Linked DNA regions of Cricetulus griseus. The protein of the gene in region 2 interacts with the protein of the main gene of each other region in a pairwise test. Links are inferred from orthologs where the notes say so. Each region holds a gene or a part of one and is shown on either strand. Other genes may lie near its edges.

Region 1 (4,038 bases), about 150 Mb from region 2:
ATTTCAAACAGTCCTTAGTCATTGCAGTGAGAAGATACTTGGGGAAGTATTTCCCAGGAAATCTTTGCCATCCTTCTTTGGTCTGTATCTGTATTTGTGTGAAAAGTTTAGCATGATCAAATGGATGTCTGTACAAAGGCCAAGAGGTTTCCCTGTCCAATACCAATGAAGCCTGTTTATGGCACTCGTCCTACCACAAGCCCTCTTGGAGGATGTCTGGGAGCCCTCAAAGAAGCTACTGATCTTAGGAATGAGGCCACATGACTTAAGCCTTCAGAAACCCCATCAGGTCTGAGGAGAGAGTTTGTGGAGAGGCAAACAGTCACCAGGTTGGGCTTCCCAGGGACATGATTGAAAGAGCGGATGAAGGTTTCAGAGCCACTTTAGGCAAGATAATGTATCTGACAACTCTAGTCTGCAGTTGTAAAAAAAAAAAAAAAAGAACTCTGACATCTCACTGCAAATTTAAATGTTAAATTGTTGGCCTGAATAGGCCTGAGATATAAATTTTCACTTCCTTGGAGATCTGGTAGAGGTCACTATCAACACTTCAGTCAAAAATTATATACATGATATATCATAACACGTTTCTTCTTGTGCTTAGTTGAAAGAATACGTAGAAATACCTAACACAGTCCAGAGGCTGAAAGGGTAGACATACCCCTACACACATCTGGTTGTGAAATGTCTTTCCCATGCCCACCGTTTCTTTCCTTTGTTAATTGTCCATGTTTAAGAGCAAGAGAATTAGGTCATAAGAAAGATCACTCACACCCACCTCAAGCTTCACACAGCTTGGGCAACCCAGAACAAGTCCGCACTGGTTAGCGTTGTCTCCCCCATTTTTATTTGTTGTACTTTTTGTTTTTGTTTTTTTAGGTTAGAAAATGTAACATAAAAGTACATATCCTCACTGTCCCTGGTCATCTGGTGAAGCAAGCACTAGACTCAACAGTATTTAATCTGTGAGAAGTCACAGCCAAGTGGTGGTGGACGTAAATCTATCTAGGGCTGTTCTCTTTCTTTTTTTTTTTTTTCTTTAGCGTGTTCAAACTACAACTTTATCTTGACCCTGGCTGCTTCTAGTGCCTGCTCAGCCCCACGCTCACCAGCCTTCTCCCCACCTCCTCCCCGCCTTTTCTTCCTCCCTCCCCTTTCTCCTAGCCCCTCCTTCCAGTTGAGTCAGTGGCTTGAAACTTTTAAAAGCGCTGTGCTCCAAGTTAGAAAAGCGCTTTTACGAGGTATCAGCACTTTTCTTTCATTGGGGGAAGGCGTGAGGAAAGTACCAAACAGCAGCAGACTTTTAAACTTTAAATAGACAGGTCTGGGAGCCTGAGCCCTCCTTTTCTTTGACTTCAGCCTCCAAGGAGCCTCACCGCTTTGGCGCGCCGGCTTCGCTTTCATTAAGCGAAAGAGTAAGTTTTGAAAAACTCACTTTACCTTCTAGCGTCTTTTTCGTTAAGGAAAACTCTTCTATTGTGGTTTATAAATGCCTTGTCACCTTTTGACTTAGGGTACTGCAAGTAGAATGACGGACTTCAAAGTGCCTTTAGTTTCCACGTGCTGATTTATATTTTGGTCAAAAGTTTTCCCGACAATGCAACAGGTAAAAGCCTCAAACTTTTCCAAGTAGAGTGAAGAGCCAAGTTACTGAATTTGGCTCTTTGTTGTGCAGCCCTATTTTACTTTTCTGTAGTTACGAATGGCGTAGGTCTTGCGGGCGGGCGGGGGGGGGGCAGTTGGAGGGGGCTCTTGAGTTGGACTTTTCAGTCGAGTTTGCTTAACGTGCTTCCTATAGTGTTGTAGACTGCGTGCTTCTTTTTCATATGGAAATACTGGCCGCCGTTCCTTAGCCTTGAAAAAGCGTACCCCTTTTGTGACGGGGTGCTTTGTTGAGACGCTGCGGCTACTTGACTTCCACGTGGTTTCTTCTTAGACTTTTCAGGATTAAGCCAGAAGATCTGAAGATCAGGGTGCTGCCGTTGGGGCTTTTAGAGCAACACTAGTTACTTTGTCCAAGCCAGCGCAGTGCTTCGGGACGAACCCTGTAGCACGCACAGCCAGCTTTTCACTCCACCACGCTGGCAACTCCGGGCAGGAGAAATCTTGAATGGGTGGTGGTGACTTACGAAGCGTTAAGAGGAGAAACGGGCGTTTTAGAGACTGTGTGTGCCAGGATGCTTTTTCAAAATCAACTGCTAAAACACGAGCTCCTAGAAGGAATGGGGGGAAAGGCGTTTTTGAAGCCGCACTTTAGAGCGAGCTACCTCCCCCCCCCACCTCCCCGCGCCGCGCGCGCCCGCGCTCCAGCCTGCTTGCGCAGACATGTAGCCACTTAGGAGCTGTTGGGACAATTTTGAGTTGGCGCTGTCAGGGTGCTAAGCACTAGGCAAAGATGATGTTAAAGTGCAGTTTAAAAGGGTTCCATCTTAAAGCATTTAAAAAATTATTATTGGTAACACGTTCTGTAAAGCACTTTGCCCCCGAGTTCATTCTGTCCCGCCTAAATCCAGCCCGAAATAATTCAAGCTGAGTCTGTATTGAAGTGGTTTTTGTTGTTTGTTTTTTGTACCAGCTGAGGCCGAGAGTGGAGCAGAAGTGAAAGCTTTGGGGAGGCCGGTTGCGCGCCCTCCTGCCATCTTAGCATCTTGAGCTCAGCTCTCCGCAGCCTCCGGGCTTCGCGGTCCAGACCTCTGCCCCCGAAGGGGGAGGGGAGACGGGCCCGCTTCCCGCCGGTCCAAGAGCAAGAGATCAAATTCATCACTAAGTTGTCAGTCTAATACCTCCCCATCCACGCTGCCCTTTCTCACCCCATTCTCCCTAAACTCGTCGGGTAGCTGGGTGCAGCCCCTGGGAAGGGCCCCTGAATACCTAGGGAGTCCCAGTGCTGGTAAATGCACTTGTAACACTCGGGGAAACTCTTGAAATTCCCTAAGAACGAGGCGGGGCGGAAGAAGGAGGGGCAAAGAAGACCCCTCGAGAAACCGAGCCACAGCTACTGACGTGTGCTGAGGCAAATCCGCTCAGGATTGGGAAATTCAAACCTTGAGTTCCGAGCAGAGATCTCCTGTTCGCGCCCTCGGGTCCACCCAACGCTCGCCGGGCACGTCTGGCAGAGTCTTGGACGGCACTCCCCGGCCCGCGCCCGGAGGCGAGCTTCCCTTCCCTCCCGGTGCTGGGTTTCGGGTGGGCAGAGAGATCGAGATCTTAAAAACCTACCCGGCTGTGTTTGGAGGTGGGTTTAATTTCCTTTGTTCCCCAAGCAAAATATTAGTGATTGAAAGTGGTGAATCGTGCCAGTCCAAAAGACCACTGGGCAACCTTGAACAGCCAGCAGTGTCCCATGAGGAAGCCTAATGGTGATTTTTTTTTTTTTTTTTGAGAATAGCTGAAAATAAAAGCCTGTGGAATAAAATATGCTAATGAGGACCTAGAATACCTTTGGGGCAAATGAGTTGATTCTGCTTAGTAGGCCAAGTTGAGTGAAAATGAGCACAATTCCAGACTGTACATTCTGTCCTGGTGAGGTGCTGAATTCTGAATTACTGGACTGTCTCCCCAGTGTGTAAAAACCACCGTCCTTTGCCTGCTGCTCCCGATGGTAGTGCTTTGATCTCCCGCTGTCTTAACGCATACCACGTTTTTATAATGACTCTCTGAGGCTCTTCAACATCACTGCCCCACCGTCTCATCCTTGGCAGTCGGGCTTTTTATCCCTCCATGACCTTCCATGGGAAGTTTGTTTCTAAAGCCGGCAGTTGCAGGCAAAGGAAGGCTGCATTTCCTTCCGGATAGGGAGCGGCGTTTGGTCACTTAGACGGCTCCAATCCTGACACAGAGAGAAGGGATGGCGGACACTGTGTCCTACTTTATTACCGTATGCAGAGGTGTAGCTCTCCGTGTGAACTGTAGAAACTTTTTATGCCCCGGGGGAAGGGAATGATAGAAAAAGTCACCCACTGATTAATACCTGTGACTCCACCTCCAAGCTTCTGTTTGACTTGTGATATGTTGAGGCACATCCTGCTCAGCTCAGGA
Region 2 (4,171 bases):
TGTGGCCTGAAGTTAGTCTGTCGTCTCTGGGTAAAAGAAGCCTCTCTGATTACACAGCAATAAGGGACCTCACCCCAAAACAAAGGCAGCTACTTGCTGCCAACTTCTCATGTTTTTTACCTGTTCAACTGTAGCTGCAACCCTCAACCCCTAATGCTGCCACCAATTCCTAACATTAATCCTGACTTTAATTTCTTTCCTAATTCCCCATTCTGACATTTCATCTCTTTCATAGCAGACACCCATACTAATCCAGCTTTTAATTTTAGGCCTAAATCCCTCAACTTTTACCCTAAATACTGACTCCTAATCCTAAAGCTCATTTTTTACTTGCTTTTAATTCACCTTTTCACTGTTTATTCTTAATACTAACCCTGACAATGGCCTTTAGTACCTAAACGGGCTTCTAAGCCAATTCCTGTGGTTGATCCTTAACCTGATTCGGTATCCTGATCATGCTGATCCCTCCAGAAAACAAAATAATGACCTCAAACTAAATGTCACCTACACGAAACAGACTTGACTAAAGCAGCTAATGTTTAAAATTTACTCGAGCTTCGTAACCTCTGAAGGGATCCTCACTTCCTAAACCCGACCGCACCTAATCCCAAACTCACCCAAAGCTTTCCTAACCACATACTCACTATCTGCTAACACCAAAGGCCATCCCCGCCCAGTGCCTCAATGCCACCCCATTCCTCACCCTCCCCCCCAAACCTAGTCGAGGGAGAGAACAGCCTGCTCCCACGAAAGGGGCCTGCCTCGCGACACACGGCTAGCTTAATTCCAAACCCAAAACGAAACGCATTGGACGCTGACCTCCCCAACAGGACCGGACACAGGATATGCAGGAGGATCGGGGGCCCCGCCCGCCGCTTCCCGGGCTGGCCTGGCCCCGCAGCCCCACCTAGAAGCTCCGGCCCGGCCCGCCTGGCCTACCTGCGCTGCCCGGCTCTGCGCCCCGCCCGCCGGCCCGCTACCCGCTCGTTCTCCGGGTGGCTCTGGGGCTCCGGCCTCGCCCTCCCTTCGACACTCTGGTCCACTTCCGTCCTGGAAATGTCTCCCACCCGCCGGCGGCGCCCTGGGCCCGCGCTCTATGGTCGCAAAGACTTCAGGAAGCTGCTCTAGCCGCAGGTCTCGATGCTCGGGCGCCCGCAAAGCCTGGCCGCCCCTCCCCGGCAGGAAGCGAGGGTGCGGCGCGCTGGAGAGATCGCCCGAACCAAGCTGGTGTTCCCTTTTAGACTCTTCCTTTTTCTAGCTCGCGGCGAAGGCGGAGCCGGGTCCCTAGAATCCCCGCCCTGGGGTGTGGGAAGCTGTAGGGACGTCCCTATAATTTGCATAGCCCCCGGGACGTGGCGCAGCACACGAGCCACTTCCGAGTTGGAAGGAACTCCAAGTCCCAGGATGCCTTGGGGCTATGTGCATCACTTCCGTTGTGTTGGAAGCTGAGTAGAACAGAAGCTGGGAGGTGGCTGTGGTTTTAGTGTGACCGCAGGCCTTCAGCCTTGTAGCCCGGAGTAGAGTGACTAAGGTAAGTCGAGCCGATTTGACAGTCAGACCGAGGGGTCGTGTCTAAGGTTCGGAGATTGCATCTGTGTACAGGGATTTCTATCTATAGATATCCCAAATGGATCCTGGTGGTCAGGACCTTCTAGCTTTGGATCCTGGTGATCAGGACCTGCTGGGCTTCCTGCTAGAGGAAAACGGAGATTTGTGGGCTGCGACCGAGCAGGATGTGGAGGCTCCGCTGGACTTGGAGCTGCCGCCTTCCGAGGTGGGTGGGCGTTCTGAGTGGGGAAGCTAAGCGACGTCCGTGAGACCCAAGGGTACAAAGATAAATCAAGGCCTGTGAATTTGTTAGAACTCTGTGCAAGCACTGAGCGACTGGGAGGTAGAGGATTTACTGAGCTCTCTGCTCAGTCCCTCGGCATCGCTGGATGTTCTCAGCTCCTCCATCTCTTCTATTCGACATGACCACAACTACTCCCTCCCACAGGAACATGTGTCCATAGATCTAGGTGAGTGTGGAATGTTAAGTTATGGGGGAGGAAAGAGCTCACTGGCCTAGCTAGCCCTACTTTTTTCTCCCTACTTTGCAGATATTGGGAGCTTTGAAAAGGAGGGGTTCCGCGTGACTCCAATGCCTGTGGGGGATACAGTTACAGAGCAGGTACTGGACTTGAGTTTTCAGGATTATCCCACCTTTCTCGACTGAGGCCAAGGTTCCTCCCATTCTGCTCCCACATCCCCATGCAACTTTTGCTCTCCACTATTTCCTACAACCTTAGGAGATTTCTAGGCTGATGCTGACTGAGGAAGAGAAGAAGCTCTTGGAGAAGGAGGGGCTTAGTCTGCCCTCAGCACTTCCTCTCACAAAGGTAAGGTTCCTATTGGTGGAGTAAAAGCTGGAGGGGCAGCCTGGCCCCTTCCAGCACTTGGGAGGCAGAGGCAGGTGGATCTCTGAGTTCCAGGACAGCCAAGGCTGCACAGAGAAACCCTGTCTCAAAAAACAAACAAAACAAACAAACAAAAACAAGCAAGCAAACAACAATGACAACAACAACAACAAAACTAGAGGGGGATTACATGACCCAAGTAGGCAAATTCAGTTTATTTCATCTCAATAACTTGAAAAAGGACTGAGGTCAGAATCTAATCTAAGCACACTTGCTGCTATTGGGAAGCTGGGGCAGGTAGATAAATAGGCTAGATTCTAGGGCAGTTCTTGACCCTGTAGGGCTTACCTAAATTGTGGTGTTCCTTTCAAAATTACCAGTGTGTGGCTTAGTTGGGAAAGGCCCTGCTGCCAGGTCTATCCCCAGGACTCACATGATGGAAAGAGAGAACTGACTCCTACGAGCTTTCTGATCTCCAAACAAGCCCACACCCACATACAAAAATATAATTTTTGAATATCAACTAACATGAGAATAGAGCCTTGAGAAGGACGACAAATGGAGGGCTCTTACAGATTTCATTGTGGTCGTGGTACTCCATATCTTGCTCACGGTAGAGTTTGGGAGGCTGAACCAGTCTAACAATAACAGTTGTCAAAGCTGGGCATGGTGGCTCACACCTCCACAGTCCTAGCACTCTGGATGCAGAGGCAGAAAGGTCCTCACGAGTTCAAAGCTACTTCCTGAGTGCTGGGCTTACAGGCATATACTACTACATCTAGCTTTTATGGTAAACATTTTTATGTCATTTGCCTTTTTAATGTTTTCATGGTATCTTTTGTTATGTAGATGTTTATTTAGGGCAGGAGAATCAGGAGTTAAAAGGCCAGACTTAGCGTCATGCCAAGTTTAGGCAAGCAGAGGCTACGTGAGACACTGTCTCCTATCCCTCTGCCACCATTACAAGATGAGTGAGCGATACAGTAGTTTTAGTAGGAAGGAAAATAGAATTTGGAAATTATCATCAGTGGTGCTGTCCCTAGTACAGTAACTGTCTTTTCCTCCTTAGTCCCCCACCCATTGAGATTTGAATAAAGTGCTCTAACACTGAGCTACAGCCTGCAGCCCTGTTTGTTGAGAAAGGGTCTTGTGAGCCCAGGCTGGGCTGGCCTCAGACTATGTAGTGGGTAAGGAATGCCTTTGAATTGATCCTCCTGCTTTTAACTCCTGAGGACTAGATTACAAGTGAATGACATCATTCTTGGCTAGTGCCTAGGCTGTATCAGAGAATATGAGAATTAACACTTTATTTAGTTTCAATTTCTGAAAAAAAGTTGAAGTGCTTTAAAGTAAAGATATGTTCTATATAGCCTCAAAAATTCTAAGTAAATCCTACCGATAGAAATTATAAGAAAATTGATGTTGATTTTAGGATAAGGATGGATTTTTGTTATTGTTACATAAGACATAGTCTTATGTAGCTCAGGCTGGCCTCAAACTCTAGCCAAGGATGGTCTTGAAGTCCTGATCTCCTCCCTCTCCCCGCCAAGTGTGGAGATTACAGGCATGTGCTACCACACCTAGATTAGGAGGAATTTGTTTTTTAATTAACTAAATTAGAGGCTGGAAAGATGACCTCAGTGGTTTAGAGCACTTTGTACTCTTTCACAAGGCCCAAGTTCAAGTCTCAGCACCCATATGACAGCTCACAACTGTTTGTGACTCCACTTCCAGGAGATCTGACTCCCTCTTCTGACCTATGTGGGCACCAGGCA
Region 3 (3,500 bases), on a different chromosome or scaffold from region 2:
TTTCAATAAACAAAACTAAATAACAGTTTAATTATTTATCTCATGTAAGTATAAATACAACATCAACAAACTTTATTTATTTTACAGTATCTCTAGGTCCTAATGTTGTGGATCTTAGAATTTTCAAAAAACCAAATGGTATTTGCATAAATTAATAGATTTGCTTCTGGAACTCACATCTGTTTGTTTGCTGTTTGTTTGTTGTTTTTTTTTTTTTCCTGTCTTCTCTCTGTGCAGGATTTTATCGTCACTGTCGTCTTTTCATTCTTGTGGTTGGTTGGTTCCTCTGCTTGGGCAAAAGGACTGTCTGATGTCAAAGTGGCAACTGATCCAAATGAAGTCTTGTTACTGATGTCAGCTTGCAAGCAGTCCTACAACAAATGCTTGGCTGTCCACAGCCCTGTCATGTCCAGCTTAAACACATCCGTGGTGAGTATTTGTTCATCCAGGCTTGACTTCCCAAATCTTAATTGATGGTCAGTGATTAAGAAAAACACCCCAAAGCTACTGTATACATTTCTGCCTTTAAAACTAGGCCAATCAAAAGAGGGAAGTCTCACTGACTGGTAAGATGATATTTCAGCCTCCAAGATTTTCAATGTCAAAACCAACACACTGTAATGTTTCTGATTACAGTTTTTAATAAAAACCCAGCAGGTATTAGCAGCTGTGGCTAAGATGACAGTCAAGTGAAAATTCTAAGCTAAAGCTGATATAAAGCCTAAATGTTAAGGCTGAAGCCTGCCAGAAGTTAAAAAGAATATTTGTTAACTCATGTTTCCTGGAAGAGAACATTTTATTAAAGCCACACATGGAATATACCAAATTGGTTGGAGAAAAATATGCAGACTTAGTAGGGAGCAAGAGGAAATGCATGGCTTGAAAAAGGACTTAGAATAATCCTGTATCTTCTCCCTTCTTCAGTATAGCTCTTCGATAGCCTTAGAAAATATGTGCTAAATTGGCTGAACAAAATCAAATATTGTCATCAAGAATATAGGCCTTACAGGAAAGTATGAATGCCAACAGTTGGAGAGAGGCTAAATTGTATTTCTAATTTATACATGTAAGCAATTGTGCTACTCCACAGGAGGAAGCTGCATCTGATAAAGAGCTAGGATGTTGACAAAAAGAAACATTTACTGAGGAGTGGGAGTCTCAGCTGTGTTCATTAAAAGTACACCATCCAGCAAAAGTGAAGTATAGTTATCTTGGCTGCAACATTAACCTGTGTCCCTGAGGCTTTCTGACATTCAGTCAGGGAAAGGGGCTACAAAGAGGGCAAAGGTTGTTCCACTCCTCCTGATTTCTCTATAAATCTTGTCTTGGTGAAATAGCAACCATGGAAATCCACTATGCCCTGGATCTCACAAACATTCTTACATATTGCTGGCCACACTTGTGAGTGGCAACTTGTGAGTATGCATTAACATATATAGTGATTTCTGTAGCTTATTTGTAGGCAGTGCCAAAGACATAATTATGACTCTCATCTCAAAATCTAAGAAAATAAAAATTGCTTGACATGTTTAACAAATCAAGTAAATGATATTTGTCAACTGCTAGCTTGGTAATGCATGTCCCAAGTAACTTATGACATCCCACCTGGCCTTGTCATTCCACTAATGTTCTAATAAAGTTTAGACTAGAAGGTAGGACTTAGAGATGAGGAATAATGTGTTCTCCTAACCCTAACAATAATGTGAACATATGGAAGGAAAGGCCTGCAGGGTTGTCATTGTGTCCCTGACAGCCAAGGCTTTGGTGGTTCTAATAGAACAGCTTGTTCAGATAGATTAAAGCAAAGTTTACAGTATTCTTTAGACCCTTGTCTGGAACTAGTGTCTGTACTCATTCAGATGTCTACATTGTAAATAGAAGCTGATCCCAATTTTTTCATTAAAATGATAGTTTCTGGAAAGATACCATGAACCTGCTGAGATCTGAAGACATGAGAGTGGAAGAAGCTAGAGCAGGTCCTCAACTCCTGATGTCAGAAAACTAAAATACTGTCTCTCTGAGTTGCTGAGTAGTGGAAATTTTACCTACCCTCCCATTTTTCTCCTTCAGTAGAAAAGTTCCAGGGCAGACCTCAAGCTATTGGACTAAAACTTCACACTGCAAGGAAATGAATTGTGTATTACTATCACAGGAGGAAGGATATTAATCAGTCAACTCAGGTTTTTGATTTAAAATTGTGTTTCAGGCAGCGAAACCCAAAAATAATGAGAAAAACTAGAAGTGTTCCCCTAGAGTAGAGTCTATGGCTGTAAGCTGGAAGATAGTCCAGAGACTGTATCTTTCCCATTCTCTACCACTTACCCTTGGGTGTGCACCTGTTGAAAGACACTGTTATATTAAATTCCTTTTCTAAATAGAATTTTAATTTTTTCTTGAACATATGGGAGAAGGTAGGTACCTTCAGTTTCTAATTGTGTCTTTCCTTTCAAAGAAACAGCTTTGGCCAACCCAAAGGCTCAGTGGGTACAGGTGCTCACTGACCAAGTTTGGTAACCTTATCCCCAGAATTCGAAAAAAGGATGAAGAGAACAGACTCCACAAAGTTGTCATCTGACTTCCACATGCATGCATGCACACACACACACACACACACACACACACACACTCAGAGAAATAATAAATAAGTGTTGTTAAGGGAGGGGCACTTAGACTGAACTGATATCACTCAGATCCCGTTACAAATGTCTGAATGTCTGGTTGAGAGCATCCCATTGGCCCTTTCAGGGACAGGTATCCTTCTCAGTCTCATCAACTATAACTATAGGCTTTAGGAATTGTATATTCAAAACATGGCTCACAGAACTCACCCTGCTGGTCAAGTGCAAGTTCTGAAGAAGGAACCATGCCCTACACATACTATGCTCTGTGATCTCTGCAAAGAAATTGGTCAAGAAACAATAAATATTTTCTACTGTGGTAATAAAATTATTTTCTTTGCCATTGTAACTTCACAGTAGCCCTAAAATAAGGTGAGGTATCAGGACATTACAGATGCTGGAAGATGATTTTAAAGATCCTGGAAAAGGTTTCTGGATTTAACTACACTAATGGTAGAACTGAAGCCAAACTCTCCTAATACTGTTAGTACTCAAAAGAGCTGAAGGCACACTGCTGGAATAGTCTCCAAGGAGGGGTCTGGTTCCACTAGGTGACAGTGTAGTAAATCCTTTACGAACAACAAACCAGCTCATGCCACCATCAAATCTCCATGCCACCATCAGAAAACTGTAGACAATTATGCAAGAGGCAGCAGACTCTGAGACTGCTGAGAGAAGATAATGCATGGAAAAAACACTTAGCATGCTGCCCAATCTGTGGAAAATGCTGATTAAGGACCACATTACCCAGAGTTATATCTCATTGGTCAAAAGCACATTCCTTTGGGTGAATGATAAGGGCAGAGCCCTTTACCATGGCAAAGTTTCAAGGATACAGAAGAAATGCTCTGATCAGAGCCTGGTGGCACAGTGCCCAGTGAC
Region 4 (4,253 bases), on a different chromosome or scaffold from region 2:
TGTGTGTGTATATATGGGTAGGGGCTAGCCTCCAGAGCTAGACTTCAGGACCTGGGACAGCTGCAGCCGAGCTTGCCCCCACCGCCACCCCCAAGTGACCGCTAGGCTCCAGGCTGCAGCTGTGGAGATAAAGCTGCGAGACTCTGTCCCATGATTGGTGATCTGCTAGTGCAAAACCAGGGCCCGCGCCCTCCAGGGCATCTCTGTGACCCCCCCAAAACAGAGTCCTCACTGTAGGCCCTCCTGCCCCTCTACCTCTAGGACTCGGCCCACTCACCTGGTCGCTTGTGCAGACGCCCGCGCGGGACACTGAACCAGCTCGGTGCGGCTGCGGGAATGAGGCTGGCCTGCACGGTCCTGGGATTCCATTGGCTGCCGACGCCGCCAGTCATTCTTTTCTGGCATCTTTGGTAGCCGCTCGTCACCTGCCTGGTACCTCTGGGCTCTGCCCCCCTAATTCTGAACCCCACAGGTCTTTGGAATTTAGGGTTGCCCTGGAGCCTCGCATTGGCGACTAGAATCACATCTTCTCCAGGCCCCCCTAGCTTCCTGGGCTCGTGAAGTTGCCACCTCTTTCGTGGTCACTCCTGAGGTCTCTGTGGGAGAATGTCACAAGCAAAAGAGCCGAACGTGAACCCGAGATGATCAGGAACGAGTGGGAGCCTCGGTGTGCAGCGGCCGTGCTCTGGGTGCTAATGGGTGAAGTGTGTGTGTGTGTGTGTGTGTGTGTGTGTGTGTGTGTGTAATGTCTTCTTCACATTCTGAGTTGAAAAATTGTTTCTCTGGGCGCCCTTTTCTGCAAAGTCCTCAAGACAGAGCAGCTGATGCCAGCACACAAGGAGGAGAGGAATCTTTCTGATGCACCAGCTTGGATGCAAGAAGCAGAGATGACGGGAGACTCTGGCCGTGCATATCCCAGGGGTTGTAGCTGCAGTCTGTGCACGGATAAGTGTTGGGGGCGTAACGACACTGCTGGCACAATGGAGCTGGGGGTTGGGTGACAAAGAGGACTGGGGACTCAGAAGGAGCACAGGCACCACAGGAATGTGGCTGGAAAGGGATGCGAATGGTGAGGAACTGCATAGATCCTGGAGTACCAGCCCAGGGGGCCAAGCACACAGAGGCCCATTGCCAAGGCAGCCATCAAGTAAACAAGCAGTAACCCGAGTCCCTCCAGGCGGCGCACCATCAGAGGCCCGCCCTCCACGCCGCTCACCCGTGCCCAGTGCACCTAGACCGGGTGCTGCCGGGTCGGGTGCCTCCCTAGGCAAGCCAAGGGACTGCAAGCGAAGGAGACAAGTGGGGCGGCTCCACCCCTCCTCTCTCTGGCTGGGAAGGCGGCCAGAACTGTTCCCACGACTGGGTCGGGTCTGGTCTCAACGGCCTGGTCTGGGGGAGTCTCTCTATACGACATCCACTGCCCCGGAATTCTGCCAAGCCGGGGGCGGGTTGGGAGAACGAGCCTAGGGAGCCTCCGCCCTTCCCTGCTGCTCAGCGTCACGCGTGACGTCCCGGTGATGGATGGGAGGAAAGCAGAGAGCTGTGAGGAAGGCGGGTCTGAGAGCTGCTAGAGACTGAAAACCCCGGAAAGCGTGAGTGCTTGCTGCCTTGGAAATCATCAGAGAGTAGGGGTGAGGGCCTGGGATCTGAGGAGGAGGCTTGCCTTGAAAGGAGCTCTCTGTCTTGTGTGGATTTCGTATTGCAGGGTCTGTTAGGATCTGTAGGTCACAAGGAGGGGGTGGTTGGGTGAGGCTGTGTGTAGGCATATTTCAGATGTCTGCACCTGTGTGTGTGTGTGTGTGTGTGTGTGTGTGTGTGTGTGTGTGTGTGTGTGTGTGTGTAACGGTATTCTTACCGTTGGCTGGTTGGCTAGTGTATACAGTGTGGGTCTAACCTGTTTGTGTGCCGGGGAGGGTGCGCATGTCTTTGTGTGCGGGTATGTTGAGTCGGGTAGGGGCGTTGTCTACTGTGAGGGAGGAAGTGGACTTGGAGGGGATTAGTCATTCTGCAGGATTTTTGCCTAACGCAGCCAGATGGCTGCTCCTGGCATTCCTTTTTGTGCTGGGTGGAGGGGCATCCGCTTAATCTTGCCTTTTCCTGAGGCGGATGGCTCAGAGAGAGTTGCGTGGATGTCTGTGTCAGCCCTGTTCAACTAAGGACGGGGAGAGTCCTGGGTTTTTGTGCAGGAGTTGAAGCAAATGGGTTTGAAGGGGATTGTGCGTGCTGTCCCATTCGCTAATGGCTGCCCCTTGAGCGTTCTCTCTGAGACCCCTGGAGCGTTCTCTCTGAGATCTAGTACTGATCAGCCCTCAAGTGGCTAATGATCCCGGTCTCCTCCAGTCAGGGCCCTGAGAGTTTGATGGCTTTTGTCGTCTTCCCAAACAGTCTTGGAAGTTTTTTGTTTTTTAATCTAGGTTTTAGAGCAGCTGGGACCTGAAACTGAAGTGGGCTTGGGTGTGTTATCCAGGTTCCTACAGCAGGAGCTCAAGATAGCTGCCCGGATTAGTTGCTGCTGTTGAATCAACCACACAAATGCAAATCCTCACCGTGTAAAATCTGCACCAGGCCAGCCTGAGGAAAGCTATATAGACTCTTAGTTCTGAACTTCCCTCCTCTCCTCAGTGGCTATAGGTCCCTGGCTAAAACACTACCTGGGACACAACTCCTCCCCCACCCTTGCTCACCTATCTAGAGTCACCTTGAGCTCTTTCAAGGACTGGCCATAGTTTCTGGGACCAGGGCAGAGCCACCAAAGTTTCCCCAAGTGCAGTCCTTGGACCTAATCTTTGTTCTTGCTGCCTTGCAGAAGATGGGTGACTTGCCCTTGGATATCAACATCCAGAGACCTCGATGGGACCAAAGCACATTCCTAGGCAGAGCCCGGCATTTCTTCACAGTAACTGACCCTCGCAATCTGCTGCTGTCTGACGACCAGCTGGAAGCTTCCCGAAACATTGTGCAGAATTACAGGTGAGCAGCCTCTAACCAGATGACAGTGACACAGCACTTCAGTTCAAAGGAGTTTAGGACATTGCGCTGAGGAGTCAGCATTGGATTTATGGGTAGGCAGCAGCTCTGCAGTTCACAGATCCCCTTTAATGACCATAGACAGGCAAAACTCTTCTCTTCAGGAGTTAAATCTTGGATGCCCCTAGTCATTTCAGACCCTTTGAAAACCACCCTCACTGTGATCCTGGAGAAAATGTGAGACCAAAAAGTTTGTAGAAAGAGCAAAGTTCATGCCTGAGAGGCTTTGGCCTCCCCCACGGACAAGGAGCTCCTTTACTCTAGGCTTGAGTAGCAAAGTTCCTAGTCCTTTGCCCAGAGTTCCCTGAGGCAAGCGGCAGAGACAGGAAGGGCAGGTCTGACCCCTACAACAGCCTGTTGGTTCCTTGCCAATTCCTCCAGGGCTGGTGTGGCAACCCCAGGGCTCACTGAGGACCAGCTCTGGAGAGCCAAGTATGTGTATGACTCTGCATTCCACCCGGACACAGGGGAAAAGGTGGTCTTGATTGGCCGCATGTCAGCCCAGGTGCCCATGAACATGACCATTACCGGATGCATGCTCACCTTCTACAGGCAAGTCTCGCCCTCGTCCCCTTCCGAGTGCTGTGCTCCAGAACACGGTTGGGTAACCAGCAGTCTCTCTTCCGCTGCCTTTTGGGCAAAGAACAGTGTGTGTGTGTGTGTGTGTGTGTGTGTGTGTGTGTGTGTGTAAGAATTCTTTCCATTTTTCACAACCCAGCCTTCACTTGTGTAAGCTGAACCAGTGAGGGCGACAAGGGCAAGTTCTGGGACCATCAGTTAAGTCACTCTCGAAGAACTCTTAGGGTTTCAATATTGGGAGTTCGGGGGGCTGGAGAGATGGCTCAGTGGTTAAGAACACTGGCTGCTTTTGCAGAGAACCTGGGTTCAAGTCCCAGCACCCACATGGCAGCTCACAACTTTCTGTAACTCAAGTTCCAGCGAGTCTGACTCCCTCCCACACACATAATTCAATTGTGGGGATTCAAGAATGGGGGAATAGTGTGGATGGACAGAAATGAGTAGTCTATCTTCTCACCCCCCAGGAAGACGCCAACTGTGGTGTTCTGGCAGTGGGTGAACCAGTCCTTCAACGCTATTGTGAATTATTCCAATCGCAGTGGGGATGCTCCCATCACTGTGCGGTGAGACACCCTCCCCAGCTGTTCCTGGTCCCTGTGGACCCCTGTGCCAGGGGCTCAGCTCTCCTTTCAGCTACATGTTCGACC
Region 5 (2,951 bases), about 81 Mb from region 2:
CTCCCACCCAACTCTAGGGTTACTGGCGAGGACAAGTGGCCTTTTTTTTTGTTTTTGTTTTTCTCATGGTTGCTGGAAACCTGAACTCATTTAACCCACTGAGCCCTCTCCCCAGATCTGGGACTCTCTAATTAGACTAAGCTGGCTGGCCAACCAGTCCCAAGGCATCTGCCCATCTCTGCCTTTCCTGTCTGGGATTACAAGTGTGCACTAACGTGTGTGCATGGGTACATGCGTGTTTAGTTCTGGGGTATCTAACAGGCCTCTAGCACCGTTAGCAGCTGAAGTATCTCCCCAGCCTGACTTTGGGGTTCTCTCTCAGCCTGAGGCTCACCAAGTCTAATCTACCTTGGTGCAGATGTTTGGAGAACCACTGCATTAGGGTGCGAGCCCGTGTCTGGGACCTTTAACGGACATAGGTCCTCAGAGCTCTGAGCTGATCAGATAAAGGTGTGCCAATTCCTAGACAGGTTCCAGCCAGCGCTTGCCCTCCCCCTAGGCCCAGGGCTGCCTCCTCCCTTGGAGTGTGTGTTGTCCCTGGCTGGTCACATGGCCTTGGTAACACCTGGAGCCCCACCCCTGCCCTCATCATCAGGTGACTTTTCTCAGGAAGATAAGGATTTGGTTCTAGTGTTGGGTTGTTTTTGTTTTTTGTTTGGGGGAGGGACCAGGTTTGAAATAGGTCTCTTTATGTAGCCCTAGCTAGCCTGGAACTCAAGACCAGGTTGGCCTCAAAGTCTTGCCTCCCAAGTGGTGGGTTAAAAGCATGGACCACCACATCTAAGAACTAGGAACTTTTTTTAAATTTATTTTTGAGACAGGGTCTCACTATGAAGACCAGACTGACACCAAATTCACAGAGAACTGCCTGCCTCTACCTTCCTAGTGCTAGGATCAAAGGGTGCTGGGAACTGAACCTTGATCCTTTGGAAGAGCAGCAAGTGCTCCCAAACTCGGAGCCGTCTCTCTAATCCCCTGTTGCTTTTTGTTGTTGCTTTTTTAAAATTTATTTATTAGGTATACAGTGTTCTGCCTGCATGTATTGCCTGCAGGCCATAAGAGGGCACCTGATCTCATTATAGATGGTTGAGAGTCACCATGTGGTTTCTGGGAATTGAGCTCAGGACCTCTGGAAGAGCAGCCAGTGCTCTTAACCTCTGAGCCATCTCTCTAATCCCTTGTTGTTTGAGATGGCCTTGGCCTCCTCAGTGTTGGAAGTGCAGGTGTGCACCATCGTAGTTGCTGAGTGAACCCACACCAGCTCAGTTCTTTCCCACAGGTCTCAGGGCCCATACCCTCCCTGTTCCTGCCTCAGCTGGTGAATGATGCCTGGAACTACCACTCTAATCCACAGGCCTAGCTCACACTTTAGGCCTTGGCTTAGGCCCAAGCCATGGCTTTCTAAAGGGTCAGGGACAGTTGGAAGAGAGTGGGGTACTAGCCTGGGCTTGGCAGGAATATTTAATTTCAAAGCTATCTTCAACAAGATGACTGGCCTTGGAGGGTCTGGAGGGGCCATACCTGTAATCCCAGCACCCAGGAAGTTGAAGAAGCAGAATTTTGGGTCGGAAACCAGCTCAGGGTACATAGCAAGACTTTGTCTAAAAAACAAAAACATTGACCATATAGCTGTGAACAAAAGAGACTCATGCTCTGTTTCCATTCTAGACTCAATAGATAAATTCGTGAGATCATTCCACTTGTTGTAACAGGACAGAGTGAGGGATGGGAGCACCATATGGAACCTGCTGGCCAAGGAGGCCTTCTGAGTAGATGGCCCTGGAGGATAGAGTGGGATGGGAGGGTAGTGTCCTTTACCATTGTGCTTTCTGTCCCCAGGGACTCCCAAAGGTGTGGACTTCACAGCCGTGAAGAATCTCCTGCTGTCCGTGGATGGGGTGGAAGCCTTGCACAGCCTGCATATCTGGGCACTGACAGTGGCCCAGCCGGTGCTGTCTGTCCACATAGCTATCGGTGAGTTAAGGTGAAGAGAGAAGCAGCCAGGGGCCTGGGGCCATTCCTGAGGGTTTGCCAAGCTCCGGCCAAGTGCTGAGCACTGAAATGCCCTTTGATCCTTCCAACTGCGTTTATGGAGGAAGATAACTGAGGCCTTGTTTGGGGTGGTCAGATCACTTGTACAGGAGCAAGGGGGTGAGTGGATGAGGGAGACAGATTCAAGCTGTAAGGCCAGTGCTTTTCTTGCTCTGGGCTCGCCTGGTACAGGATAGACCCTGGCACTTCTTGTCTCCTAGTCAATTCCCCAGGGGTAGACATGGAGCCAATCATCCCTTGTTTCTCTTCCCAGCTCCGCATGCTGACCCCCAGGCTGTGCTGAAGGTGGCTAGGGACCGCCTCCAGGGGAAGTTCAATTTCCACATCATGACCATCCAAATTGAGAACTACACTGAGGAGATGAAGGACTGCCAGGAGTGCCAGGGCCCCTCAGACTGACCATCTGGCCAGACACCATCGGAAACATCAACGGTTTAGCCAGGACTCTAGGTTCCAGGCACAGCCTGGTCCATGCCAGTGGGACTCTGTGGCCTCCTGTGAGCCCACAGGACCAGGATGAAGCCCATGAGGCCATACTTTTCCAGGGATGTTTGGGCTGGATCTTCAACTGTCATCCTCACATCACAGCTGGGATGGCACTAAGGCATAGAAGGAGGACCTGGGGTCGCCTGTACTAATCCAGGGTCTTTGTTACACATTACTGGGAAGTTGGCTCCCTTTTGCATAGTCAGTTTCTTTGATAAAAGAATTTTGAACTGGACTCAGAGGGATCCTTCAAAGACCATGTTATTACAATTTGGGAGAAAAACACACACACACACACACACACACACACACACACACACAGGCCAGGTAAGCTGTAACTCTCAGCAGCTGCAGGGAAGAGGAGGGAGAAAGAAGGCCACACCTTTGAGTTAGGGTCGTCAATGGAGTTGTGT
Region 6 (3,500 bases), on a different chromosome or scaffold from region 2:
CTGTGGCCAGCTTACTTTTGTGTCTTGGATGAAAAGATTGGTCCAGAAAGGTGCTTTCATTTGCCGACATTTAGGGGGGACTTGAAAGTGAAAGCACGTCTTTCCCTGTCCAGTCTGCATGCATTTTTATTGTTGAGCTGGGTTTCTTTTTCCAGCACGGCTGTTCAGATGGGTCAAGTGCTGTGAATCACACTGTACTAATCAGCGTTTCTTCTTCCAGTTGTGTTTTGCACTTACCCTGTGTTCTGCCTTTTGGGTAAGTGTGAACTTTAGTCTTCTGTGATGTTTGTGGTTTATATCCCTTGTCCCTTGTCACACACACAGTAACTATGTTTTTTTTTTCTTTCTTCAAGTGGCATAAAAAGGCACTAGCGCTCATCTTCTGCATTTTGCAGTCTTTGGCCTTGACATGGTAAGTAATATCAGGGTCCTTCCTCATAACCAGCCCTGCCTTTGACTTGTGGTGGGAAAGGAGAGAAAACCAGCGTGTTGTGGGTGGGAAGGTTAGGAAAACAGAAGCTCTTGAGTTGAAGAGTTGTCGGTGATGCAACAGAAGTCAAGCTTCTGAAGCCAGCCAGGTGACTCAGGCCACCCCCAATAAATGGCATTAGCGGTCTTGAGTGGTTACCAGAGGCCTCCAGCCACAGCATTTTTGCTGAACTCATGGTCAGTTGTGAGATGTACAAATATTACTCAGCTACTCATGTCCGGGAAGTGCAAGCTCAATGAAAGCCTGGTAACAAGAGGCTAGGCGTCAAATGGACACTTCCAGAGAAGGGTGCTACCCAGAAAGTCAGCGATTGCCACAGAGTGACCATTTGGGAGAACGACATCGAGGGCATGGCCAGCCAGGATGAGAGGGCAGTAGCCGGGGAAATGGAAACCCATGTGGATGTGGGGTCAGCATCCTCACTGGAGGTGGCGTGGCCTTGGGGAATTACAGGTGAAGGTTAGGAGATTATAACTAAGAAGCCAGGTATAGTAAAAAGGTGACCAGAGACATGGCTTTTTAAAATCATGAATGGAACTGTAAGTTCTTGGCTATTTAAACCTGTGTAAAACATCCAAGGGAGAGGAGTGGTGGCACATATCTAATCCGTGTGTTACTTTACAAGTTTAATCCATGAGTAATGATGTTCAGTAGAATAGTTTCAGTACAGTGTGACTGTTCTGTTTGGGATAAAACTGTCTGCTAGGATACAGAGAAAAGGGAGGCTGTGGGCATTTTAAATAAACTTCTGGTCGGTGAACACCTAGTTGGTAGAAATGGATCTTGGGAATGCAAGCTTGATCCCATCTTCCTTTTGGAACTTGGACCTTCTGAAGAAATACTCTTGTCTAACTGCCTTTCAGATGTTACCATGTTCACAAGTTAGCGAATGCGTGTGAAAAGTGGGAGGTATGGAGAAGGATGGTGACCTGATTTTAATATGGGATACATTTTGCTATTAGGTCCTACAAGGGCCTGGCTTGATAACTTGTGTTTGTACTCTGGCTTTCTTCTGGCTGTATAGTACCTACATATACATAGTTCTTTTGCAAGCCAGTTCCAAGGAGTCAGCACTCTTCTGGGCCCAGGAAAATGGGGATTCCCTTTGAACTGATTCTTAAGTCTGACCAACTTACACCCTGACTGACAGACACACAGGGACTGTGTCTCTGTCCTGCGTGACTTTCTTATAGGCAGTGTGGCTTGGGTTCTTGAAGCATTGTACCAGGGTGCATTCTCATCTATAGATTGGTAGGCAGTGGCTTTTTTTTTTTTTTAATTAGCGGAACAGATAGAGCATTGATCTCACATGGGTTGATGTTGAATTCTCTTGAGAATTTACAAAGCATTAGATCACACCTGTTGAGGATTTTATTTGCAGTTTCTGTAAATAGGACTCTGGCGCCATACGGGCATCTGGAATCTGCCCATTTTAGTTGGTTACTGCTGGCTTGTGAGGTTAAGCAGCACCACAAGCAAGGCTGGGGCCAGAGGGCTTAATGTTACACTATTTACGGGATGTGTTTAGGTGATGTGTGAGTGCATATGGGTAGAGCCTAAGGGCTTGCTTCAGGGAGTTTTCCACTCCCTCCATTCAATTTGATCTTTGCTTTGTTTTTCTTTGTAGGTATAGCCTTTCCTTCATACCATTTGCAAGGTAAGACTGTAACTATGTATTTGGAAATAGGGATTCTTCCATTTGTGAACCATGATATGTTTACATAGGACTTTTAATTTTTAAGAAAATGAATTTATTTTCATTTTAATGTGTATTTTGCCTATATGCATATTTATTTGCTATGTAGGTGCATTTTCTTGTGCAGGTTAGAAGAGGGTGTTGAATCCCCTGGAACTGGAATTAATGGATGGTCGTGAGCTGCCATGTGGGTGTTGGGAATTGAACCCGGGACCTCTGGAAGAGCAACTAGTGCTCTCTAATTGCTGAGCCATCTCTCCAGCTCCTGCATGTGGACTTTAGTTTGGAGATGTTAGTTTAGTTGCAGAAAGTACATGTTATTTTATTTGTCTTTAAAATTCTTTGATCTAGTTAGACACAGGTTGGACATCTGCTTTATAGGTTACTATGATAAGGGCCATGGTTCTCCTGATGTCATTGTTCAACTAGTAATGTGTTGGCAGACTCTGAGTTCCTAGTGTTTGGGGCACTCAGCTCTAATAGAAAGGACATTGATGCACACCACCATTCCTTTAATCTGTAGCTTTGAGATGATAACTTGACAGGTGATCAGTGTAGTGTAACTAAACAAGAGTATCAGGGTCCTTAGAGCCTGCTTGTTTTCCTACAGGGCTCACACAGGGATTGTTTTAGAAGAGTCTAGAGGGGAAGCAAGGCCAGAACTCTAGAGGACCAGCACTTCCTAGTTAGCAGTGTGAGCTTGGTGACTTTACCAACCACCAAGACCTCAGATGAGACATCGATAATTGGAGTGCGTGGGGCTGGTTCATCCCCAGATGCTGGGAGTTTGTTAATCACTTTTGGTGGGCTTTTCCCAGTTAGTCACAGGACCTTTGCCTCTGATTCTATTCTAATGAAGCCACTTAATTTCATTTTTCTCAGTCATCTACTAAGTAAAAATATTTTCCATAATCGTGTGGAGGAAATGAAAAATTGTGCAGAGGCTGGGAGAGAGGGCAGATGTTCTGTCTTATGCTTTGCAGATCTGCTGTTGCCAGTGATCTGAATGCGCTGGGAAGCAAGGCTCACAAGCTCATAGAGCGTCCCTTTGTGCATGGGAGTATAACCTTTGTGAAATACTGCCTTGGGGGCAGGGAAGCTAGCTTGCTATGTGAAATAAGCATCTAATGAAGTAGTTATCAATTTGGCAAAAATTTGACCATATCTTGTAAGTCCCTAAACTATTTACATAATTTACTGGGCCCAGCATAAAGTGACTACCCCTTAATGATCTCAGTGCGTTCTGTGATTGGCTGATGTAAAAATGCAGCAGCATGTACTAGTCCCCAGGACCAGTCTGCAGGGTAAGTGGGC
Region 7 (3,265 bases), about 280 Mb from region 2:
CTCTTTGTTGAGACAGAAACTCTGGACGGGTATTCTTTTTCCACTTCTAGAAGGAAGAACAATGCTGTCCTTATATGGCTTCTCAAAACCTGGCACTCACCACACCCCCATACCTGCTGTGGTAGCTGATGATGTCACCTCGTGTGCACTTGGCTCCTTGATCACAACCATTTGGGGTGCATTGCTGACAGTCATCTGCCTAAGGTCAGCCCTGAGACACCTGGAGGGTCCCAGCTTATGTTCTAACTCCCTGAGAGCCTAGGCTTCCAGCCATCTCTTTCTTTAACACAGGGAATGATCAGTGGGACACTTCAGTGTTTAGCCTTGGGTGTCCTCAGGAGGATGGCTTTGTGCAATGTGCCTGCAGTCAGTCCATTTTACAAATGGTCACTGGTCTGTCTTGGCCTAGGGATGGGAAGACTTGGGTCACTGTCCATCTTAGCTCAGGCATGAACTTTTCCAAGACCTGGTGTTCTTTTTGAACAGAAAATCATGTCTAGGTTGATTCTTGTGTGTCAGTTTGTGTTGCTAGGGATGAAACCAAGGTCGTGAGCATGCCAGACAAGTGCTCTGCCCATAACCTGGTTGTTGGGAGGTGAAATAAAGGCATCCACACACACTCTGAACACAGCCTAGTGCAAGGTAGGGAAGCAGGCTCAAGCCAGCATGGCCTGTGTAGTCTCGGGATGGGTGCCAGAGAGTTTTGGATTTGAGATATCATCTGCTTATATATAATGAAATATATTGAGGGCTGGAGTGCAGACGATGGCTGTTGGTATCCTCAACACAGACACAGAAAGCCAACCCTGGCTGTGCTTACCTGCAATCATAGTTCAGGGGCAGCCGAGACAGGAGAATCTCTGGGGCTTACTGTCAATCAGGCTAGCAGAAATGACTCCAGGTCTAAGTGAAGGACCCTGTTTCAAAACACAAGGTGGAGGACAATCAAGGAAGTCACCAACATTAACCTCTGTCCTTTTCATGCACACTTGTACACACACACACACACACACACACACACACACACACACACACACACACACGAGCTGTCTTGGAGTTGAGGTCAGACTCTCCCCGTGAAATTCAGGTACCTCTCCTATACACTTTCACATATGAAGTGAAGGTAATTTATGTGGAACATTAAGTGATTCTGTACATGGGACAGAGTTCCTATACTCTGAACCATCACACATGTGTGATGTTGGGGCCCAAAGTTTTGAATTTTGGATTCTTATGTAGAGCTGCTCAATGCCACCCACTTTTTTGTGGATTTTCAAGACAGGGTTTCTCTGTGTAGCCCTCACTGTCTTGGAACTCACTCTGTAGATCAGGCTGGCCCCAAACTCACAGATATCCTCCTGCCTCTGCCTCCCGAGCGCTGGAATTAAAGGTGTGTGCTACCACCAACTCGAATTTAAAAACAAAAACAAAAAACCAAGGTCTCTTGTGTCACACTAAGGTTTGGCTGCATTGGAACTTTCTGTGTCCCCTTGAATTCCTGCTTGTGCACCAGCATTTGAGTAGGGCTATTAATCCAGATCCATACTATCATTGCCTTGATGTCATGGACCTAAGGTCACCTGGTTCCATGTGGGTTTCACTATGGTGAGTCAGTCACAGAGTCCCACCCAGCCTGCCTCAGTGGAGATGGAACCATTACTGAAATGTGAGTCACCACTGTGGGGGGTTCCAGAAGTCTCTGTCCACAGGAATTGGAAACTGGGAATTTGAACCCTAGGCAGGGCATGGCTCCCAGTCCTGCAGTTGCTTGGGCCAGGCTTTCTCTACTGCTCTGTCTACTGTCTCTGACTGGCTGCTGCAGTTTGGGCCCTCACCCCTACATTCATGACAGTCAGAAGGGGAGCTGCCCTGTCCTTGACTGTTCCCTTTTTTCTTCTATTTGAATTGTAACTTTATTGCAAGATGGTATTAACTACTTTTAAGTTAATAACTTGTTCATTTTAGTTGGGCAGCAAAAGTTGCTGCAAATTGTGTATTCAGAAGTAATCACAAGACAATTTGAGATGCAGAGCAAGGATCAGTGATACCTGTTGGGGGCAGAGGAGGGTCAGGAACATTGAAATTCCAAGACCTCACAGTCCCCATGAGCTCCATTGTACCCTGCATGCCAAGTGCCTATTTTGGTCTGGTGTTCTAAGCCCTAGTAGCTCCCATTGCATAGTTCTGAGCAATTTAGTCATACTGAGCCTATTTTATCCCACAGAGGACATGTCAGAGGCAAGACTCATGGCCAGAGACCTCATCATCAAGACTGTCCTGCATGACCAGGTGCCCCGACCTCCAGTGGCTCCTGGGGCTCCCAGCATGAAGGAGCCTGTGGAGGAAGAAAACAGTTCTATGAGAGACTTGGACCTCGTGGAGTGCCTGGAGAACAGGTAGGACCCACTGACCAGTGCCCTCCTCTGGACATGGCTTGAAACACCTTCTGTATAGAGCTAGAGTGGGGTGGGGGTTGAGGAGGCTCCACACCCCACAGGGTTCCTGACAGTGATTCTGGGGTCTCAGGACCATCACACTGCAATCTGGACCATCTAACTTCACTAGCAAGAGGCATGTTTGTTGTTGCCACTATGTCCAGATAGAGAAGGCAAGGTCCCTTCCTTCTAAGGCCATGAGACCCACTGCTCACTTCCAGCAGAAAAAGAGTAGCTACACCGGTCATGGTGAGTCCTGCACACAGGCAGGTCAACACAGTCTCTCCATGTGTACTCTCAGCTTCAGGGTTCTCTGTTACTCTGATTGTGGAGGTAAGATGGGGCTGTTTGGATGCCTGTTTCCTCCCTTCCTGGTCCATTCCTGAGTGAGGTGAAGCCTGGGGCAGTATTTTCCTGGGGTCTCCCAGGTAGGACCAAAACTTCCCAACCCAAGCCAGATGACCTTCCGGGCTCCTGGCACTGTTGTCACCACTGTTAGAATCAGGAGTAGACCTGGGACACTGGATCAGTGGTGCAGGTGGCCAGGGCTGAGCTGGGCAGGACAGACAGCCCCTGAGATCCCCTCTGTAGGGACTTTCCAGTGAGCTATTGAGTCACTGGTGTGGAATGTTCAGGCCAACCCCAGAAAGGGCTTAATCAGGCTGGTTTCAGTGTGTGTATGTCTTAGTTAGGGTTTCTATTGATACGACAAAACACCATGACCAAAGAGCAAGTTAGGGAGGAAAGGGTTTATTAGGCTTACACTTCCATATTGCTGTTTATTACTGAAGGAAGTTAGGGAAGGAACTCAAACAGGGTAGGATAACTGG

What was found.
Region 1: the proteins of Creb3 (region 2) and Gja1 interact in binary tests that used the Homo sapiens proteins (3 or more experiments, as listed by UniProt). The two-hybrid records come from large-scale screens. The link is inferred for Cricetulus griseus from reciprocal best matches to the Homo sapiens genes CREB3 and GJA1.
Region 3: the proteins of Creb3 (region 2) and Synpr interact in a two-hybrid assay, tested with the Homo sapiens proteins (2 studies listed by BioGRID and IntAct). The link is inferred for Cricetulus griseus from reciprocal best matches to the Homo sapiens genes CREB3 and SYNPR.
Region 4: the proteins of Creb3 (region 2) and Sfxn3 interact in a two-hybrid assay, tested with the Homo sapiens proteins (2 studies listed by BioGRID and IntAct). The two-hybrid records come from large-scale screens. The link is inferred for Cricetulus griseus from reciprocal best matches to the Homo sapiens genes CREB3 and SFXN3.
Region 5: the proteins of Creb3 (region 2) and Slc30a2 interact in binary tests that used the Homo sapiens proteins (3 or more experiments, as listed by UniProt). The two-hybrid records come from large-scale screens. The link is inferred for Cricetulus griseus from reciprocal best matches to the Homo sapiens genes CREB3 and SLC30A2.
Region 6: the proteins of Creb3 (region 2) and Sft2d2 interact in a two-hybrid assay, tested with the Homo sapiens proteins (2 studies listed by BioGRID and IntAct). The two-hybrid records come from large-scale screens. The link is inferred for Cricetulus griseus from reciprocal best matches to the Homo sapiens genes CREB3 and SFT2D2.
Region 7: the proteins of Creb3 (region 2) and Bik interact in a two-hybrid assay, tested with the Homo sapiens proteins (2 studies listed by BioGRID and IntAct). The two-hybrid records come from large-scale screens. The link is inferred for Cricetulus griseus from reciprocal best matches to the Homo sapiens genes CREB3 and BIK.

What each region holds. Positions count from the first base shown.
Region 1 is NC_048595.1:253,063,391-253,067,428, reverse strand, and holds the start of Gja1 (gap junction alpha-1 protein), read left to right. Parts: upstream 1-1,238; 5' UTR 1,239-1,415; intron 1,416-4,038. UniProt on the Homo sapiens protein: Gap junction protein that acts as a regulator of bladder capacity. A gap junction consists of a cluster of closely packed pairs of transmembrane channels, the connexons, through which materials of low MW diffuse from one cell to a neighboring cell.
Region 2 is NC_048595.1:99,953,772-99,957,942, reverse strand, and holds the start of Creb3 (cyclic AMP-responsive element-binding protein 3), read left to right. Parts: upstream 1-1,371; 5' UTR 1,372-1,531; intron 1,532-1,618; 5' UTR 1,619-1,627; coding exon 1,628-1,774; intron 1,775-1,861; coding exon 1,862-2,018; intron 2,019-2,099; coding exon 2,100-2,170; intron 2,171-2,288; coding exon 2,289-2,378; intron 2,379-4,171. UniProt on the Homo sapiens protein: Endoplasmic reticulum (ER)-bound sequence-specific transcription factor that directly binds DNA and activates transcription. Plays a role in the unfolded protein response (UPR), promoting cell survival versus ER stress-induced apoptotic cell death.
Region 3 is NW_023276807.1:171,601,859-171,605,358, forward strand, and holds part of Synpr (synaptoporin), read left to right. Parts: intron 1-237; coding exon 238-429; intron 430-3,500. UniProt on the Homo sapiens protein: Intrinsic membrane protein of small synaptic vesicles. Probable vesicular channel protein.
Region 4 is NC_048596.1:16,519,535-16,523,787, reverse strand, and holds the start of Sfxn3 (sideroflexin-3), read left to right. Parts: upstream 1-1,453; 5' UTR 1,454-1,592; exon of another isoform or gene 1,593-1,631; intron 1,632-2,806; 5' UTR 2,807-2,809; coding exon 2,810-2,970; intron 2,971-3,408; coding exon 3,409-3,579; intron 3,580-4,070; coding exon 4,071-4,169; intron 4,170-4,253. UniProt on the Homo sapiens protein: Mitochondrial serine transporter that mediates transport of serine into mitochondria, an important step of the one-carbon metabolism pathway.
Region 5 is NC_048595.1:18,946,983-18,949,933, reverse strand, and holds the end of Slc30a2 (zinc transporter 2), read left to right. Parts: intron 1-1,839; coding exon 1,840-1,974; intron 1,975-2,305; coding exon 2,306-2,451; downstream 2,452-2,951.
Region 6 is NC_048598.1:27,202,258-27,205,757, forward strand, and holds part of Sft2d2 (vesicle transport protein SFT2B), read left to right. Parts: intron 1-155; coding exon of another isoform or gene 156-220; coding exon 221-256; intron 257-353; coding exon 354-412; intron 413-2,117; coding exon 2,118-2,147; intron 2,148-3,500. UniProt on the Homo sapiens protein: May be involved in fusion of retrograde transport vesicles derived from an endocytic compartment with the Golgi complex.
Region 7 is NC_048595.1:380,436,301-380,439,565, forward strand, and holds part of Bik (bcl-2-interacting killer), read left to right. Parts: intron 1-1,553; exon of another isoform or gene 1,554-1,926; intron 1,927-2,224; 5' UTR 2,225-2,229; coding exon 2,230-2,396; intron 2,397-3,265.